Linked DNA regions of Drosophila melanogaster. The protein of the gene in region 2 interacts with the protein of the main gene of each other region in a pairwise test. Each region holds a gene or a part of one and is shown on either strand. Other genes may lie near its edges.

The links.
Region 1: the proteins of Mpcp2 (region 2) and CG15211 interact in a two-hybrid assay, tested with the Drosophila melanogaster proteins (one large-scale study listed by BioGRID).
Region 3: the proteins of Mpcp2 (region 2) and CG17574 interact in a two-hybrid assay, tested with the Drosophila melanogaster proteins (one large-scale study listed by BioGRID).

What each region holds. Positions count from the first base shown.
Region 1 is NC_004354.4:10,770,655-10,774,412, reverse strand, and holds the start of CG15211 (uncharacterized protein), read right to left. Parts: upstream 1,873-3,758; 5' UTR 1,787-1,872; intron 1,646-1,786; exon of another isoform or gene 1,616-1,645; 5' UTR 1,415-1,615; coding exon 1,247-1,414; intron 1-1,246. Other genes in the region: BTBD9 (BTB (POZ) domain containing 9), read right to left, coding at 3,341-3,758.
Region 2 is NT_037436.4:14,535,865-14,539,622, forward strand, and holds the start of Mpcp2 (mitochondrial phosphate carrier protein 2), read left to right. Parts: upstream 1-1,786; 5' UTR 1,787-1,838; intron 1,839-1,861; exon of another isoform or gene 1,862-1,984; intron 1,985-2,139; 5' UTR 2,140-2,167; coding exon 2,168-2,557; intron 2,558-2,864; coding exon 2,865-3,205; intron 3,206-3,688; coding exon 3,689-3,758. Other genes in the region: CG43246 (uncharacterized protein), read left to right, coding at 770-1,028, 1,080-1,327.
Region 3 is NT_033778.4:12,851,533-12,855,290, forward strand, and holds the start of CG17574 (uncharacterized protein), read right to left. Parts: upstream 2,009-3,758; 5' UTR 1,951-2,008; coding exon 1,791-1,950; intron 51-1,790; exon of another isoform or gene 37-50; coding exon of another isoform or gene 1-36.

The DNA.
Region 1 (3,758 bases), on a different chromosome or scaffold from region 2:
CAGCCGTCAGCTAAACTAGCTTAGTCGCCTGATAATAGCCGATTTTCAGAACAGAAAATCAATATATATAAGTTAATAAACGACAGCTTATTGTGACGGTAATCATATCATCGAAGCACCCAGCACTCCTCCCATTTATCCGCTATTGATTTTCTCCGTAACAACTGACGAGCGCTTAATAATGCATTTTTCATGTGGGTCCCAAGCACTTGTCGTTATCCCTTGACCTTGTGCCCACCAAGCGTTGGCCCATTGAGAATAGAGAAATTTTTGCCTGAAAACTTTCTACACCTGAGCAGGTGATCCATCCGAGCGGTAGTTGAGTTACCCCAGTGCCCACTCATATAATTGCGAGTACCTTGTGTTGGCGTCGCATACCGATTGCATCGCCCACACTTTAACTTCATTTTGCTGCGGATTTGTGGGAAAAAAGATAGATCATACATAGCTTCGAATACCAGGCCAAATGCGTTAAGTGTTTAACGTCTGTGGAATACAAGAAGAGGGCTATGAGTTGACCACATGGCCATGGAGCTCACATGTTTGCAGTTCCTACAACTTGTCTACCCCTATCTTATCCGTCGTAAGTCTAATGAGATCCTGACATATGTACACACAAAAGGGGCAAGTGCACAACACACTTGTTGTCGGGCATATTGTATACATATTTGTGTAATTGAGTACACATCGAGGCTCTAGGGTTTCTTAAGTCTCGAGATATCTCGATAAAGAATGGTGGCGGAAGGCAAACTCTAGATAAAACCGTTCAATTTATGACGATAAGAGTGCTATGAGGAATTCTAACTTTTCTCTACAACAATTATCCAACGTATATTTTAATATTTCCCTCTGAAACTTTATGTTTCGAAGGCTCTATCAGTTTCGAGGAAATACGATAACAGCCAAATTCGGAAACTTATGTCTGAATTTAGCATTCCACAAAATAATGTATGTACATTATGGTACTTTTTCAACATAATCGCATTCCTAAGTTCTATTTAAACCGACATTTATGCATATTTTAAATCTAAGAGTTTAGAAACATGTAATGTACATAATTTTGATATGTTTGGAAATTTGGCCCAGTTTTTGGTTTCAGTTTTTAAAAGACTTCTACTCAAGTGGATCGTATTCAATAGTTTCGAAATATCATATGTTGCAATATTAAGTATTAGATTTTCATTTGTTTTATAATGAATTATAAAAATATAGTAGTGATATATCTCAGCTAGTTGTATGTACTCACAAACTCCACAATTTTGATGATGCCCGGTATGGTGCGGAAATAGTCGATGTTGAGGCGAATGGCGCTCCAGAAGCCGCCACCGCTGCCAACGGTCGGGTTCGCTCCACCTGGCGGTCCGTTCGTCGTTGTTGTTGTTGTGCGCTCGATATTGACAACGGTCTCGACCATATTGTTGCTGTTTATAGTTTGGCTTGGCTTAGTTTCAGTTTCAGTTTCAGTTTCAGTTTGGCGGGCAAGTTTACTTTATTAGCTGGGCACAACAACTATTTTTAAACACTTGTCGCGATTTTTGTCACAATAAAATAAGATGAGAAAAATAACCACCGCTTTCTATATGTTCGCTGGTCGATCGGCAGCTACCCTATATATCTATATCTGATGTATATGAACGCGTGTGACGCCCTCGCGCGAGTTACCACCCCACCCCCTAAACCCCCACGCCTCTAATTCTCAAATATATATATAGAGATATATGCCGCGTGTGGTGGGTATATTTGGGTATGTGGTGAAATGTGTGTAGTTTAGTATCTGGTAGTTAACTGTAGCTATATATCCATGAGCTGCGCTGCGATTGCTTTGGCGTTACGTTGCTTTGTCCACGGCGGCCGCTGGTCGACTGAACTGAACTGCGAGCTGAACTTGCCGCCGCTGCAGGCTAACGGTTAACCGCACGCCGCTCCGCTCCACACTAGCGCACTCACGCTCGCTCTCCCACTCCCACTCGGACTTACACTCACATTCGCGCTCTCCCAGTTAGTTAGTTAGTCAGTTGGCTATTTAGTTGCGCGCGCCCTTTGACGACGCCCCTGCAACGCCCTAAATAGAACCACCCCCCACCCCCCTTAGTTGCCACTCCCCGCTGCTTGTGGGGCAAACTAGTTTGTTGCGCCTGCGCCGCTAACTGTTATAATCGGCACAGTGGGCCAGATTGACCGTATTGTGTGATTGTGTTCATTCCAAAATAAAAGTAAAACTATTAAATAAATACAGTTGTCTAGATTTCTCAATAAAACATTTACATTTTATTAAAACCATCCGTACAAAATATGCAATATATATTATTAAATCATGTAGACAACGCGGCGTATGAGTAATATTTTCTTTTTTTTTTAGTTTTCTTCAAGAACCCACAAATTCCCGTTTGGCTAGCACTGCATTTCGCCATCTCTTTCTGATTCGCTCGCTGGATCGGCGTCCCTCTCTCTCTTCCCAACGCCCACTGTGCGTCGCAACTGGTTTAACGTTCTGATTCGACTTTTATGGCTGCCGCTGCAGCACGGCCGTGGGTCGCCTCTGATCGGAATTTCAAAACAGTGGAGCGTGTTGTGGATGTTGGGGCAACAGTGGGTGGCATGTGTGGTGCACAGTGGTCACACACGGCACAATTCGTGGTTGAAATGTGTGAGGGACTTTAAAAATTTTATAAGAAACCGATTGGTTTGCAAGTGAAACAATAAGCGGTGTTTTCATTTTTTTGGTTAGCTTTTATTTGCGTGCAATACAAACTATGACAAAATTTGCCTAATAAATAGAGCCTAATTTTTGGGCCGCTCGATGAGCCTAAAGACTACGAGTTGCGGATCAAATGGATTGATTTGGACAAGGACATGGACCGGACATAAGGCTAGACAGTACAGATTTATACTATGCGATCGGATATCGTATACAATTTTGGTTCAGCTGCTCGGAAATCGCATTCGAGTTCGCGTTAAACATGTGTGTGTGTGTGTGGTGTGTGTGTGTGGTGTGTGTGTGGGTGGGTGTGTGTGTGCATAGAATTCAGTTATATTGCTTATATAAATAACTCTGCTGCCTTGCAAACATAAGGAATTATTTTTGGATCACAATAAAATTATAAAAACATATATCTATATATATATATATGTATATACATATAGTATATAACGAAGGTAATAACGCAAAACCAATATGCAATGCACAGGTTTTGGAACCACCAAGCATTGGGGCACTGGGAAGGACTAGATAACAAGAGCAGCACGGTCTGCAAAATATAACTAAGCGCGGAGACTAACAGCTAACAGACCACAGGAGTATTTCAAGTACAAAACATTATCGGCCGCAGCGGCGATCAGCTCAGAGCGTCTCCCTGGTGTCAAGCTCAACCAATGGCGGCACTGGCTCCAACTCCGCACTCTGGCTTCTGCTCCTACTTAGGCTGGGACTGGGGTTGCTCCTTGAACTTGGACTGGTGTGGTGGCTTGCGTCTGCACTGATATTACTTGGCTGATTTTGTTCATGGTTGTTATGCGGCGACGAGGTTGCCGGGGTCAGAGGAGCCGGAAGTGCTGGCGTGCCGGGCGGGGAGAGTGCTGGCGGAGTGAGTGGGGCAACGGCCACTTCCCTTGTCTGTGGCGGCCAGTGGATGGACCTTAAAACGCTTTGGCTGCTGCTGGAGGAAGTGGAGGGACTTTCAGCATGGCCTGAAGCCAACGAGGATCCCGAGGTAGAGGCAATATTGTCATCGTCAGTCTTGGCCGTCTTCTTCTCCTTC
Region 2 (3,758 bases):
AGACTAAACCCAAATCGATCAGTTTATCGCATCCACTCTCAAGCTTTCAAAACTTATCCACATTCAATTTACTAAAACACTTTGCCGTAATCTCTATTTCAGATCCAGCTCCAGTTAGCAGACCGTTACACAAAAGCACTAACACAAAACACTTGGCAGAGCAGCTCTCCTTACGTTTAACTTTAATTACTCAATTATTTGCCAGATTTTGTTGTTTTTCACTTCTTAAGTTGGAAATTAGCCGCGAAGTACGCAGACCTAAAACGTTGGCCAACTGATTAGAGCGAGCGAGAGGCGGCGAGGGGCACAACAACGATCATATCGGATCGGATCTCGGATCGAATGGGAATCAACTATATATCGGACTACTACAGCGCGCGTGTGCGAACGCGCTACGAACCAAACTCAAACTGACGACCGAACTTCACTCCACAGAAATCCACGAGCGAGCAAACACAGCAAATACAAAAGCACAAGCAAAAGCAAAGACGGCGGCAAACAAAAAGAAAGAAGCACAAAGACAATCGAAAGACAGACTCAAAGCTTAGCGAAAGAGTCCGTTGAAGTTCTTTTGGTAAGAACCACAAAAAAGGCGGAAAGGCTTAAATAATCCTTGAACTTAATAATAACCTACATAATATAAATATCCAAGTGTATATTATCAGTCACTTTTGTTCGTTTTGTAACAATAGTCGTACATAGTGGCCTTTGGAAATACATACATAAACTTTATCAACGCGGTCTCATTGAATTATTTTTCTTATTTTAAATGTCTTTTAATTGTATATATTTTCTTATTATACTCAGTGGGAGACTGTTGATCACCTGTGCCGAAAAAAACGTATCTATAATAGAAAATGGGAGATGCTTAGATTGTAGGAAGGAAAATACGGAAATGTGTCGGATTAAAGAGACAGGATTCAGTTGTTATGAAGGAAACTTTTATAGGCGATTGGGTCGTCTACAAGGTGAATTCCCAAAAACAACCAATAAAGAGGGTGTTTGCGTTCCACCCGGACTGCATATCGGTATAAGAAGCATTTGAATAGTAATAAAAGACTAATTTTTTAATTTTACAGATACTATGAATGCCAAAGTCTGCTGCGTTTGGTCACCAGAAATCGGTTGTCAAATCTTATTAACTGAAGATCACCAGGGTGAATTTTGCTTCACTTGCAGAGTGAAATATAAAATGGAATACAAAGGCCTAATTTCCTGTCCGTGCGTAAAAAGTGAAGGATTGGGCCAACCCCATGTGAAATCATGGCAGAACTTTATTTTCACATATTTACTCATAAAATTATCCAGTTTTACCATGGGGCTATAACTTATAAATTTAAAATGTACATATAATTGAAAATTGTTATATATTTTACAGAGAGTTCTAAATACAATAAAGCTTTAGATTAAAATTTGTTTTATTGTGTAAAAATAGAAAACAAATCACAAATACTATGCAAAAATATGAGGATTTTACAAATGAATTTATTATTTTTTCAAAATATTTACAACTAATGTTATCAATATGAAATTAATATTAATAATTAATATTTTATTCACAACGAAGGCAATGGCATTAAAATAATCTCACCTGATACCTCGTATGCAGATGGTTCGAGTCCACGCTCAGGCGCCACCAAAGTTTTGCACCAAGGTTGCAGTCCATAGCCGAAGATTTTGACATGAGTGTGGCCAACTATCCTCAATCCGCTAGTTACACCTCTCCACGGCAAAACCATTAAGGCGTTTTGGTATTCGTGAGAAATCGCTGCACCTCCGTGAGCCCCCCCTCATTCTTTGAATCCTCGCCAACGAGCCGCTAACGTTGCTGACGAATAGTAAGTGCGAAAATTCCGAGCGAAAATTGCATAAGTTTTGTAAAATCGAAATCAAAGTAGCCGAGCGGTGCTCTATCGCTCCCTTAACATACACTAAATTTACGTGGTTGCTTAAAATCCTTCGCTTTTCGGGTAAATTTGGTGTCGTAAGTCCGGGTGCTCGGAATTCGAGGCACGCCGTTATGTAACCTACAAAAGCGAAAAGCAGCTGATTACCCAGCTATATATATAATTAGATAAAGCACATGTCGCCTCCGAGGTACATATATACGTAACTAATGGATGGTCTCTCTACTTTCAGCCGACCCCAGAACAAGAACAGAATCAAGATGTTCTCCAGCTTCTTTGAAACTGCCCGGAACTCGCCATTCCGCACCCCCATGTCGATGGCAAGATGCGATGCCGCCGCCCCAGTGGTGGAACCCCAGCCGGTTGAGGGTCGCCAGATCGCCGCCGCCGCTACCCCGGTGGCCAACCAGCAGGATTCGTGCGAATTCGGCAGCACCAAGTACTTCGCTCTGTGCGGAATTGGTGGCATTCTCAGCTGCGGCACCACCCACACCTTCGTGGTCCCACTGGATCTGGTGAAGTGCCGTCTGCAGGTCGACCAGGCCAAGTACAAGAATCTGGTGCACGGATTCAAGGTCACCGTGGCGGAGGAGGGCGCCCGCGGACTGGCTAAGGGCTGGTTCCCCACTCTGCTCGGCTACTCGGCACAGGTGAGATTGGGCTTCACTTTATGGGTTGCATAATCGTCTGGAGGCGAATTATATGCTCGTGACCAGGTCGGCTGACCTTAATTACATCGGTTCCGGGCTTGAAGCAGATAAAAGTGATTCGAATCGAACATTAGGAAGTTTGATTCCTAGGCTGATATCTTAGTATACCTCAGAATAACAACACACCTTTGACAACTTTATGGTTACGGGAGAAACAGATACCGAAGATAAAATCTTGGATACTACTGCAAACTGAAAAATAACTTCTGAGAAACAGCAGGCTAATCCGCGTTTCTGTATCTTTCAGGGTCTGTGCAAGTTCGGTCTGTACGAGTTGTTCAAGGTGAAGTACGCCGAAATCATTGGCGAGGAGAACGCCTACCTGTACCGCACCTCCTTGTATCTGGCTGCTTCCGCTTCGGCCGAGTTCTTCGCCGATATCGCTCTGGCGCCGTTCGAGGCCGCCAAGGTGAAGATCCAGACTATTCCCGGATACGCCAACAACTTCCGCGAGGCAGTGCCCAAGATGCTAAAGGAGGAGGGCGTCAATGCCTTCTACAAGGGTCTGGTTCCCCTGTGGATGCGACAGATCCCATACACCATGATGAAGTTCGCTTGCTTCGAGCGCACCGTGGAGCTGCTCTACAAGTAAGTAACATTTCCTCTTTAGGTATCCTCTAGTTTCTACAGCGGAAAAACTTACCAGTGCTGTGCACAATATCTGTATTCGTATTAGCGTTTTGCTATTACAATAGTTTAAAGGTAGACTGTTAATCTGTGAAATTTCAAAAGTGATATGCTAATTGATCAAAACTGAAAGTATTCATAATAAAATAAACTTTTAGCGCGTCAGCAGATAAGAATGCCATTCGTATCTAATAAATGGCACGCCAGAATAAAAACCAACGACGAATGCTTATCTTGTTCAAATATAGGAAAATCATATTATTTCAGAACTAGTTTGTTACTATGGATAAAATAAAAAAAGCAAAGCATTCCTTTTGAAGTGCAAATTAGCAGGTAGCCACTGAAAGTTCAAATGTAAAAACTAGAGCAATACCGTTCACAGTTCGGGTTGTCAAGCCCCAACGAACCCCGTTAAATCAATACTAATGATGCAACTTTTCCCAGGTATGTGGTGCCCAAGCCTCGTGCCGACTGCACCAAGGGCGAGCAGCTGATCGTGACCTTCGCCGCTGGC
Region 3 (3,758 bases), on a different chromosome or scaffold from region 2:
GAAGAAAAGTATCCAGTAGATGCCCGAATCATCCATGATTATGATACTGACTGAATAAGCGGTGCACAAAGACTAAACAAAAGCGAGAAACTAAAGCCGCCGGATTGGCAATCGAAAAAGTGCCAGTAATGGCCAAAGAAAAGGGCAATCACACTCATAAAGATAGCACTTATCAGTGATAACAGTACACTTTCAACCATTATCATAACTTACTTAAATCACCGAGAGCCTGACGACGCTTCCAATGTAGTGCAACCAGGCCGATCAATGCCAAAATGAATATTTTGAAGGTTATGCGAAAAACGGATATGAAAACCACAGAGCGTTCCTGGGACTCCAGCAAGGAGCTGACCTCCGTTTCGTTATTCATTTCGGGAATACGTTTACAAATTGTTCCAATATCGAAAGTCTTCCGGATTTCGAGCAAGATTTAAGGCATATATCACAACAAGGGCAACCAAAACCGTGAGGATACAAGCTTCGTATGCCAGAAATGTCCAGTTTATGTGCAGTCGCTGGGAAATGTCCTCAAACACATCCAATATGGTGGCATTCATCGTGAGGACCTGCGACCTAACTAAATGGGTTTCATAATCATTTTCTGAATTACCCTGCATTTCGGGATCAACGTACGTCAACACTCAATCCTTTATGACCATTAGCCATTAATACCTAATTATTGATTTGCGTTTAGGCGTAAACGAAGCATTTAGTGGCACATTTGGAAATGGAATCCGAAATAGTAGGGAATCACAGTCGTTGTTATCAGCATATATTGCACAAATATAACAATAACACCCAGTCATTACCCACTCCAAACCAAGTCCTAAATCTCAGTATACCAAGATAGCCGGACTATTTCACAACAGAGGCTTTTAAAGTTTAGGATACTGGATAAGAAATTATTTTTAATTGTATTTGGAGGGGAAATTAAAAGCCTTAAATATGTCTTACATCTTTTAATATTAACTCGGATTTCTCATGCAAAAGACTTTACTTCTAGCTAAAGAACTAAATTCGCACACAATCCAAAATTTCTTCTAGACAATGACTTGAATATTTGAACCATAAATAAAATTGACAGTGCAGATAGGAAGCAAAAGCACTAAACCTTGGGCAATACCCATTATTATCATATATTTATCAATTTACAAGATCAAGTTAGGAAATCTAATGCAGACGCTTTGAATGACGTCTTCGAGTAATGGATTTAATTAGAAAAACAAGTTTTTCAGTGTATTAGATGCAGATACCGCTATCATGTGAGTTTTTACCTCTATTTACATGTGGCAATAATGAACAAAGTGACTCAAAGTGGACAATACGCAGAATAGTTTCAAAATGTTGTTAATTTTATCATTAAAAATTATAATTATAAAATAACTACATGCCACTTGATCTAACTACATAAAGCGGAAATTTTTGATTCATTAAGATGTGTCTCTTTTTAAAGCAGACAGCAGCATAAAAATAATAAGTACGGTATCTTAATAATGGGTTACCAACCTTTACAGTTTTTAATCTCCTTTCCAATTTTTAATCGTAGGCATATACAAATGGCCCCAATACAAATGGTCAATACAAAAATCGCAAACACTATAATCAAACTAAAGTCGTCTTCATTTGAATTCGAATTGAAAACATTCACAAAAAGAAAATTCATGATTGCACTGCAAACGCGACCTATAGACTAAGATAACTATCTGAAACTGCAATTATCTGTGAGTGTTAATAGATGCTGAAATAAGAGAGTTGGCTTATCGTACAGATACGTTAAGAATTGCTCTTACCTTCCGTCTTATTGCGTTTACAACAAGAACAACAACACTTGCAATAGCCCCAGATAAAAAGCATAAAAATGATTGCTATTAATCTGGCACCCGCTTCAGGAAGTTTATCGACACTTGGAGCATCGTATTTAGGTGGCGGTGGGAATTCTAAAGGAGGCATCTTTTTTCTAGTAAACACGTTTGACTGCAACGAACTGAGTAAATGAACTGGTCGAACTGTGTGTCTAAGCTCAGATCTTTTTGGACTGAATCTGGGAAAAAATTCAATTCACTAAGCCCTTTTTATTACGATAAGAAAAAGCGGACGAAAAAAAATATGCATGTTATCGTTTAGACTGTGTGTAAAATATTTATCCAGAATACAGAAAACTTATATAACCAGCTGGATTTTCAGTATTTAACAAGTATGGATGAAACAAGTACTACTTAGCTCTTTGTTTAATTTTAGTAATTTAGTGAACCATTCGCACATTTTTGCAGCGTACTTTTAGGCATAACCAACCAGAAGCCGCTAAAATACCCAATAAATATAAATTCTTGTCTTCTTTGTCTTTCCATCTGCTTATAGAGTCTTTGATATGTGACATCATAAATGGTCTCAAATGTATAATACATTTATTAAGATTTACAACGCACAACAAGTACGTAGTTCAATAAAAAAAACAAATTTGCGATCGATTTGAAATTTATGATTTAGTCACTATGAGTCAGAATTACACTCCATTTCCCAATGAAAGCAGTGACAACTACTATGAACTACAATATTACACCGAAGATGATTGAATTATTTGAAATTATAATAGGCTGACAAAAAAGGAAACTTTACGATCGAGCAGAGGTAAATGCAGTACAAAAACAATACATTGAAGAAAACTGCGATTGAAGTATATTTTGCCATTATTGGTCAAATTTTGCTAAATTCCAAATCCCTACCGATCCGAACGAAAGGAGCAAAGAAACTAAAATCTTAAATCACTTTAAATAATTACTCATACGCATAATATACAAAAGGTAAATACCACCATTCGCTTAAAAATTTGATTAGAATAATCATTACTCACTAAGCCGCACTCAAAAAAGTTTAAAAGATTTCATTACTTTTCTATGTGTATATCAAAAATTATGACCTTTGAATAGAAGTTTTTTAAACTTTTCTAAATTACTAAGAACGTAGTAAAACAGCAACATAGCGTTAATGCACCGAATGAATCAAAATATTTAACCAAAATTTGTAGAAAATTAAAATCATGGAAGCAATAAAAAAATAAAATTATTTTTTCAGTACCACATTCTTAAAAAGTACCATTATTTTTTTGAGTACGCTTAAATGTTGTAAACGACTTATAGTGGCTGCATCCGCTTTTTTTTTAAATCTTGTTCTTAATGTTCTGTTCACATCAGAATTAAATAAAACATATATTTTAAGTTCTTAGCAAAGGCAAATAGTGTATCCACTTTTTTTTTGTTTACGAAAAGAAAGCTACTATATATAAAGTAATTTTCTTAAACTTTGAATGTCGTCGTTTTTGTAAACTTTCTTATTTATTAAGCAGTTGATTCGGCAATCTTGTAGTGTTACAACCATGTAATAAATAACGAAACTAAGTAGTTAAACATAAAAAATTAAATAGATTGTTCTCCGTTCTCCATTTTGTTGAACAAAACAAGACACAGGAACTTCACACACGGAGCTTCGTCATCTGACAATTGGGAAGAACACAGGACAGCAACAAAGGATTTCTGCATCGAACTATACTAACTTGCTTCAATCACATCCTTGCCCGCCAGGCGCTGTTTCCTTTTGCGGATCACGTATCCTATGATCATTGCCACGACTCCGCAGAGGACCACAGCGAAAATGGTGCAAAGGATGATGGTGGAGATCTCCAGATCCCTGTCGTTCGGAACGTGCGGCATCCTAATCGAATTACTCACAACAATAGGTATTTACTAACTAATAGATTCTAT